2 linked regions of the Oryctolagus cuniculus genome follow. The protein of the gene in region 2 interacts with the protein of the main gene of each other region in a pairwise test. Links are inferred from orthologs where the notes say so. Each region holds a gene or a part of one and is shown on either strand. Other genes may lie near its edges.

What was found.
Region 1: the proteins of ITSN1 (region 2) and KIF5A interact in a two-hybrid assay, tested with the Homo sapiens proteins (2 studies listed by BioGRID and IntAct). The link is inferred for Oryctolagus cuniculus from reciprocal best matches to the Homo sapiens genes ITSN1 and KIF5A.

What each region holds. Positions count from the first base shown.
Region 1 is NC_091442.1:60,189,070-60,192,302, reverse strand, and holds the end of KIF5A (kinesin heavy chain), read right to left. Parts: intron 3,169-3,233; coding exon 3,086-3,168; intron 2,679-3,085; coding exon 2,651-2,678; intron 2,272-2,650; coding exon 2,193-2,271; 3' UTR 2,158-2,192; intron 1,272-2,157; 3' UTR 1,131-1,271; downstream 1-1,130. UniProt on the Homo sapiens protein: Microtubule-dependent motor required for slow axonal transport of neurofilament proteins (NFH, NFM and NFL). Can induce formation of neurite-like membrane protrusions in non-neuronal cells in a ZFYVE27-dependent manner.
Region 2 is NC_091435.1:11,216,009-11,220,352, reverse strand, and holds part of ITSN1 (intersectin-1), read left to right. Parts: intron 1-539; coding exon 540-787; intron 788-3,170; coding exon 3,171-3,330; intron 3,331-4,344. UniProt on the Homo sapiens protein: Adapter protein that provides a link between the endocytic membrane traffic and the actin assembly machinery. Acts as a guanine nucleotide exchange factor (GEF) for CDC42, and thereby stimulates actin nucleation mediated by WASL and the ARP2/3 complex.

The DNA of each region.
Region 1 (3,233 bases), on a different chromosome or scaffold from region 2:
ACTGGAGCTCTGGACACCAGACTTTCTTTCTCAGCTTGGACTGTCTAGTGGCTTCCATCCTTGTAGTTACCTGGAAAACCACCTTAGCACCATGTGGAAGGAAAGGACCACCTGCGGGAGAGGGGACCGGGTGTGGGCGGAGGATGGCTGGAGTGGGGGGCCCTGGAAAACCTGCCCTGCCCTTTTCTTTAAAGTGCACTTAATACCAGCTGGGGACAACACAGAAGGACATCTTTGGGGTAGGGGGTATATGTCAGGGAGAAGTCCAGCTCCACTTGTAAGAAAGGCATCCAGAGAGATTGTGCCAACGGACTGGGAGCCCCCAATTCCAAGGGTAGAGCTGGGGAGAACCTGGAGGCCAGTTGGGGAGAAAGGACCCCAGCTCAGCGCTTCAACCTGAGGCCGTGACAAAAACACTTAGGACTCTCCGGGCTCGTTCAGCCCCCAAACCCAAGGAGTCAGTCATCCTGACTTGTCCTCGCCTGGAACCACCGTGGGCAGAGGAGCAGCCGCCGACAGCTGCCGGGCGGGGTTCTACCACCTGGATTTTCACAGCGGTTGGAAGCAGCCCTGACTTCTGGCCGTGAGATCTGGGATGCAAAATGTCAAGAGCAGCTTGGAAGGGAAAGGGACACGGCCCCTCGAGCAACCCAGATTCTCGGGAAAACAAAGGGAGGCAAAAAGTCGGGTGGCGGTGAAACCCTGGGGTCCCCCGACTCAGGTGGTGGGTGTCTGAAGGAGAGCGTGTGTGAATTAGCAGCCCTTCCGCGTCACCCTCCCCTGCGCTGCGCGTGAGCGAGGAGCGAGGAAGTCATTTCTGCGTCTTCTTAGGATGCCAAGACATTCTTCCGCTTAAGGCTTTGTGTGTCCGTGTGTCCGTGTGTGTGTGTGTGTGTGTGTGTACAGAGACACAGAAGGGCCGCAGCCCTCCAGCTCCTGTTTCTCCTTTTGTCATCTCTATGACCTCTATCAGCAACTAATACCACTCAGTGTGAGAGACAAAGGTATGAAGGAGACAGAAGGAACACGCGCCCTCCTCTCTATCGCCCCAATTGAGGAGGGCAGACTAGGCTTAGCGATTGCTCAGTACATGGTTAGATACTCAGAGAGTGAGACAGAGAAGAGAGACGTAGCAGCAACTTTGATCTATAGATACAGAGCGAGCAGACATCAAACATCGCACAGCGGGACGACAGGGGCGGGGGCAGCTAGTATTGGAGACCACAGGTTTGCAGCATGCTGAGAGAAGAGGCCTCGGTCCCTCTTAGAAACTGGGAAAGAAAGAGAAAGAGCGTGTGAGGAGCCAGCTGGCAGCCCAGACACTGCCCGGGGACGGGCGCACACACAGGTTTACAGTCCTGCTCCTTCAACACCCGACCGTCCGCTCAGCCCCTGCTCCCACCCTATTTCTCTGCTTCTCACGCCTTTCTGCTGGTGTGTGCATGGCCCATTGTCCTGGGTGCCCCTGCAGAGGGCCGGGGAGGGAGGGTGCAGGCCAGGAAGAGAATGGCCCTGTTCTGCAAGAGTAGACAATAAAACAGGATCCCAGGTGTGATGACCCACGAGACCCAGGAAGGTTCCCGTTTGGCTGGAGGTGGGAAAGGAGGGAAGTGCTGGGAGCTGGCGAGAGAACCCTTTCCGCCTCCAGGGAGCAGAGGGATGACGCTGCACCCACCTGGCAGGTGCTTCCTACAGTATGGGTGCATACACAGGTAGGGCAGGAGGAAGGCGAACATCACCTTGACTGGAGATGCCTTGGTTTGGAAAATATCTATCCATCTGAAGCCATGTTAGGGTGGAGGTAGGAGAGCTGAGATCATCTCTCAAGGCCTCTGGGTATCTAAGTCTGTGACCTGCCTGCCGCTTTAGAGCCACAGTGCCCGGGTTTGCTCCTTTTGATGTGTGGTGGTGCCCCCTAGCGGCAGGAGGGCAGTAATGCTGTGGTTACTCCTGCAGCTGAAGGGAGAGTTTGGAAGAGTGGGGAGGTGGGTCCTGAGCACAGGTGCAGCCCCGGGGAGGGGGAACCAAGAGGTGAGCAGTGAGTACATCGTCTAAGTTTTGAAATGGTGGAGAAAAAAACAGAAGCAGGAGGACTAAAAAGGCCGTGGGCAGGAAAGGAGGCAGCCTGCAGTGGTCCGGGATGCATCTGGAAGCTACCTGACAGTGCAGGTGCGGAGCCGTCCTGTGGGAGATTAGCTGGCTGCCGTCTCTTGGTGCAGAGGGAAAAGCTTGGCGGGCTCCTCAGCCTCGTAGCCGCATGGCAGGTCACTTCTGGAGGAAGAGAGACCCAGGGTGAGGAGAGGACCCCGTCACCGTCCCTGAGCTCTGCCACAGGACTCTCCGGGTTACCCGGGAATGCAGGGATGACGCTGGCCTGCACAAGGTCACCAGCGAGGAGACAGGGCCAGGTCAGCAGATGCCTGTGGCATTTCCTCCCCTCACCCTCGGGCCCCATAACCGGGATGGGGAGAAATCAAGGGTGGGTGGGGCTGGAAGAGGGGACGGCGATGACAGCCCAGAGATGGCAAGAGGGGCTCTGATCTCCTGCTGCTGTCGGAGCCCCTGAGAAGCTCTAAGTAGGGCAGAGGAAAAATGGATCATTTCTTCTCGAGGCGCCCAGAGGACCCGAGGGTAGTGGGGAGTGGCATACCTGTTGTCGTTGATGTCTGTGGCATTTCCTGAGAGCACGGGGGTAGAAGATGACAAAGGACACTGGCTGTTAGAAACCACCTCCCTGGACACGCCCACCTCAGCGCCCTGGAGAAGCTAAGCCACGGCTCCAGCCTCAGCTGCCCCGCGCCTGAGATCAGACCTCCCAGGCCCCTCCCTGAGCAGGGTGGGGGGCGGGAGGTCAGGGTGGAGGGCAGGCTCGGAGGTGGGAGGAGTCCACGCGTGAGAGACTTGCAGAGGTGGGCAGTGTTGGAGCTGCGGGAACAGGGGCCACAGTTTTTCTCGTTCTATCAGGAGCCCTGGCCCACGGGAGGAGTCTGCCAGACTCCTTGTAGGCTGCGGTTGCTCACTTTCTGCCGCTTCTCGGCTCACCCCGGGGATGCCCACGGCCGCGCGATTCATCTTTCCCACTCACCATTGTCCATGTTGGCCTTCTGATAGGGAGCCAAGGAGCCACCGGAAGATGCAGCCGCGCTGCTGCTACAGGAGTTGGCGAAGCTGACGGAGCAGAGGAGGGGGAGGCGGGCTCGGGCACACGCGACTGTCCTGAGACCCTCGGCAAT
Region 2 (4,344 bases):
TCAGTCAGCTTTGCTTCCTGTGGAAACCACCTAAGGCTTGTTTGTATCTTCCTTGTCTCTCTGCTGAATAAATACTACTTAGTTACTAGATGGTTTTAGAGTACTAAATTTATATTGATTGCGCCCTTTTGTTGCAACTTCAAATAATAAACCCAAGACAAATTCATCTTTCTTTTATTAGTCAAATTATTTTTAATAATTATATGACTTCCTGAGTGATGAATGCTATCAGATCCACTGTCCAATTCAAAATAACTCTGAAAACTTAGACTGTCTGTCCAGGTACTTCTGGCACTTTGTCTTGATTGTCAAAAAAAAGTACCAAGAATTAGAACTTGAATTGTTGTGCTTGCTGTTTTCCCACGATTAATGTTTACAGAGCATTTTTCCAGACATTTAGATGAGGATGGAAACATTTCTGTGCTGTGTGTCAGTCAAAACAGGGAGGAGGCTTGGGGCTTTGTTATGGTGGGTGCTGTTTGCTGTGTTCCGGGGTGGATTTAGTTCCACTTAGATGTTGTGACTTGTCTTTCCCACAGGTGGATGAAAGCCAAACTGGAGAACCGGGATGGCTTGGAGGAGAATTAAAAGGAAAAACAGGATGGTTCCCTGCAAACTATGCAGAGAAAATACCAGAAAACGAGGTTCCCACTCCAGCCAAACCAGTGACTGATGCCACATCTGCCCCTGCCCCAAAACTGGCTCTGCGTGAGACGCCTGCCCCTTCAGTGGTGAGCTCTTCCGAGCCCTCCACCACCCCCAACAACTGGGCCGACTTCAGCTCCACGTATGTGTGACATCCTGTTTCTGATGCTTTTTAAATATCAATTCAGGAATCATTTTTCCTCTCTCTGTGTCTTTATGGTGTGGTTGTCTCTCCGTGTTAAGGAAGCTGGCTTGTTCCTATTACCCTCTCTCTCATTGTCTCCCAGGAAGATTGTGTATTACATTCTCTGAACTGGATCTAATGGAATCATTGCCCAACTATGGTTTAACCCTGGCACAAAATATACTCTGTTATCTTGTTTCATTCTGTAATCTGTGTATCTCTTTCATTTTTCTGGATGAAATGGAGACATACAGTTTCCTACCACAGTTGGCCCTCCTCATCTGTGGATTCAACCAACTGCTGAGCCAAAATGGTCAGGAAAAAGCATTTTGTTAGCACTGAACACATACCGACTTTTATCTCATCATTACTCCCTAAACAACACAGTATAGCAATATTACCATAGCATTTACATTTCCTTAGGCATTATAAATAATCTAGAGCTGATTTGAAGCATACGGAAGAATGTGTGTAGGTTCTGTATAAATACTACTTGAGCGCCTGCAGATTTCGGCGTCCACAGGGGTCCTGGAACCAATCTCCCACGGATACCGAGGGAACACTGTCATCTGTTTTGACATCCATGTCTGTCAGCAAATATTCCAAGTCATTTCCTGCATGAATTTAAATAGGACTCTCTTGCTGGGCAGAAACAGAAATTGCATTCAGTCATGTGGTTTTGAATAAGATAGCTGTTTCCTCTCAGGCTTTCGATTTTCATTAGTCTTGTGCAAGTGTACAGTGGAGTGACGAGGTGCGTGTCCTTGACCGCTGTTATTTAGCAAAACAGCAAAGAAGTAGAGGTTTGAAATGACAGAGGAGCCTGCTGTCCAGACCTCTAGTTACAGGGCCATGACCTAGATGTGTAGTTGCCTGAAACTAGTTGAAACCAGTATGCAAATAAGAGTGATTTGAGTGAGAAGTGCTTGGGGGTGGGGGAGGATTTCTCTTCAAATCTAATCATCTTTCAGAAGAAACCAGTTGAAGTTAAGGAATCAAAATGTATTGCAGGAGAAGGGTCAGGTGGGACAAATAGAGGGAAGAAAGGAGAATGACTAGCAGGGGCAGGAGGAAGTGGAGGAGAGGATTTGAGGATAGCCAGTTTTTCATACTTAGAGTTTCATATCAGAGGTTGAAAGCCATAAAGATCCTCGCTATATAAAGTTTGCTTTTAAAAAACAGTCGCCTCCCATTAGCAGGACTTCCAAGTCAAAACTGTCCCTTCCTCTTTTGATCTCGATTGAGAAGTTATAACTTTCTAACCTGAAGCTTAGCCTGAAATAGAAGAGTAATACCATGTTTTCCAGGATTTGTTTTTGCTGTGGATTAAATTAGTAGGACATTCTTCCTCAATAAATGTGTAGTGTGCAGTTCTCCTGCTATAATTATGGACATTTTATTTTCCAAACCAAAAATCAGAGTGTGTGCTCTAACAGAGCAGTTGTTTTGATTTTTTTTCCAGTTGTGTTTACGTGTCTTACAAAGATGTAAACACAAAAATTGCGTTTAGATCTGCACTCGCACAGATGCGTTTGTCTAAAATTGTAATATCACAAAATCACAAAATTAGAACTATCTCCCTAAGATCCAAGACAACTGGTTGCTGTAAGGATGCCCCTGCCAATGACCAGACATCCAGGTGTCTGCCCTAGGGTGGACGGAGAAAGAAGAGGTGCTGGGAAGCCTTGGCTGTGGTGCTGTTTTCCTAACTTCTTCATTCCTCAGTTGTCACTGCTGACGGTAATGATCATGTAAGGAGGGTCCCGCACAGCGAAACAAAAAAGGGGCAGAGTATCGTTCCTGTTTTACCCATGAGGAAGCCAGGAGTCAGAGAGACTGCTTTAGTTTGCTAAATGGCCTTTGCTAATGTCGAAGCTCAGACTGAATCCTAAGCCCAGGGCTCTTTCCTCTCTTCCTTGTTCTTTAACTGTAGAGAGCTGCAGAAATGGGGCAGGCACTCAGCTCAGCGTGTCAGACTCTGCTTGGGTTGCCCACATCCCATGAGAAAACTTCCATTCAAGCCCAAGCTCTCTTCCCCTCCAGCTTCCTGCTCATGCACACCCTGGGAGGTGGCAGGTGATGCGTCCCTGTCACCCATGGGGGAGATCCTGATTGAGTTCCGAGCTTCTGGCTTTGGACTGGCCCAGTTCCAGCTGTCGTGAACGTTTGGAGAGTAAACCAGGGGCTACGTCTCTGACTTTCTGTGTCTGTCTCTCTGCTTTTAAATAAATAAACAGGAAATCCTGGATTTGTGTTTACACGGGCTCACTGAGCACTGAACTCTGGGTGGAAAGCTTTCGGAAGTGCGTTACCATTGATGGTGGTGTACTTTTCCTTCCAGGTGGCCCAGCAGCACGAATGAAAAACCAGAAACGGATAACTGGGATGCGTGGGCAGCCCAGCCTTCGCTCACTGTCCCCAGCGCCGGCCAGTTAAGGCAGAGATCGGCCTTTACTCCAGCCACAGCCACCGGCTCCTCCCCTTCTCCTGTGCTAGGCCAGGTAAGGGCAGTCGGTGCCCTGCAGCCAGCAGGTGCTTGTTGGTGCTGCCGTTCAGAAGTCAGCTCTGCTCTGTGCTTCTGGGATGGCTTTATCACAAGGGGTCCGGGAGTCTGAAATGCGCTGGGAAGGACCAGCGTTCAGAAGGGGGAGTCGACCCTTCCTGAGCTGATCAGGGCAGCCCTGCCCAGTGGTAAGGGTCGTACTGGAAAATGCAGAGGGCTAGCATTTCAGGCAGAAGCAGTGAGGAGGGGCTTTAAAGCAGAAAACCCAAGCGTGTGCATGGAAAATCACGTTCATTCCCTTGGCCAGGCCATTGATCACTGGAAAACAAACCGGGGAGCTCTGAAATACCCTGCAAAGATAAAGGAGTGAAATTAATCAGTTCAGCCAAGCAGGATATGCCCATCCGGGGGGCTCTTAGAGGGTCCGGGCAGTTTCTGTCTGGGAGCACCCAGACTGCGGCAGACACTGGGCAGATTCAGCTGGAGACGATGATGCAGGGAGATGAGAGTGAGGACCAGTGGGCAGCATCACTGTTGTTCAGGGTGCAGGTGATGAGCACCAGGGAAGACCTGGGCCCAGGTGGGTTCATAGTCCCGAGCAGGGTGGAAGCAGTGGGTGTAGAAGAGGAGCACACATGAGGGAGGCTGCAGAGGAGAAACAGCAGAATGGCCTCTCCGGGCCCGTACCAGCCAACAGGAAAGGAAGGGGGTCTGGGAGTGAGAAGGGGGTTCCACCTGGAAGGTAAAGAAACAAGGAACAGAGAAAGAAAAATCAATTATTAGTTAGAGGCAGGAGTAGGTTCTGCACATGTTAAGGTTAAGGTGGAAACAGGACATGCAGGTAGTCCTGCCAGGCATGCTGTTGGAGCACAGAGCTGGGGGGTGGAAGAGAGGACAAGACCTGCATTATATGAGTATAGGGGAGCCGCCTCCCTGGAGAACACAAATCCGAGGACCCGTGTGAGGTCATAAAGGAGAGGTAACAGGGGAAGAAGAGGAGCTGTGTCATGGA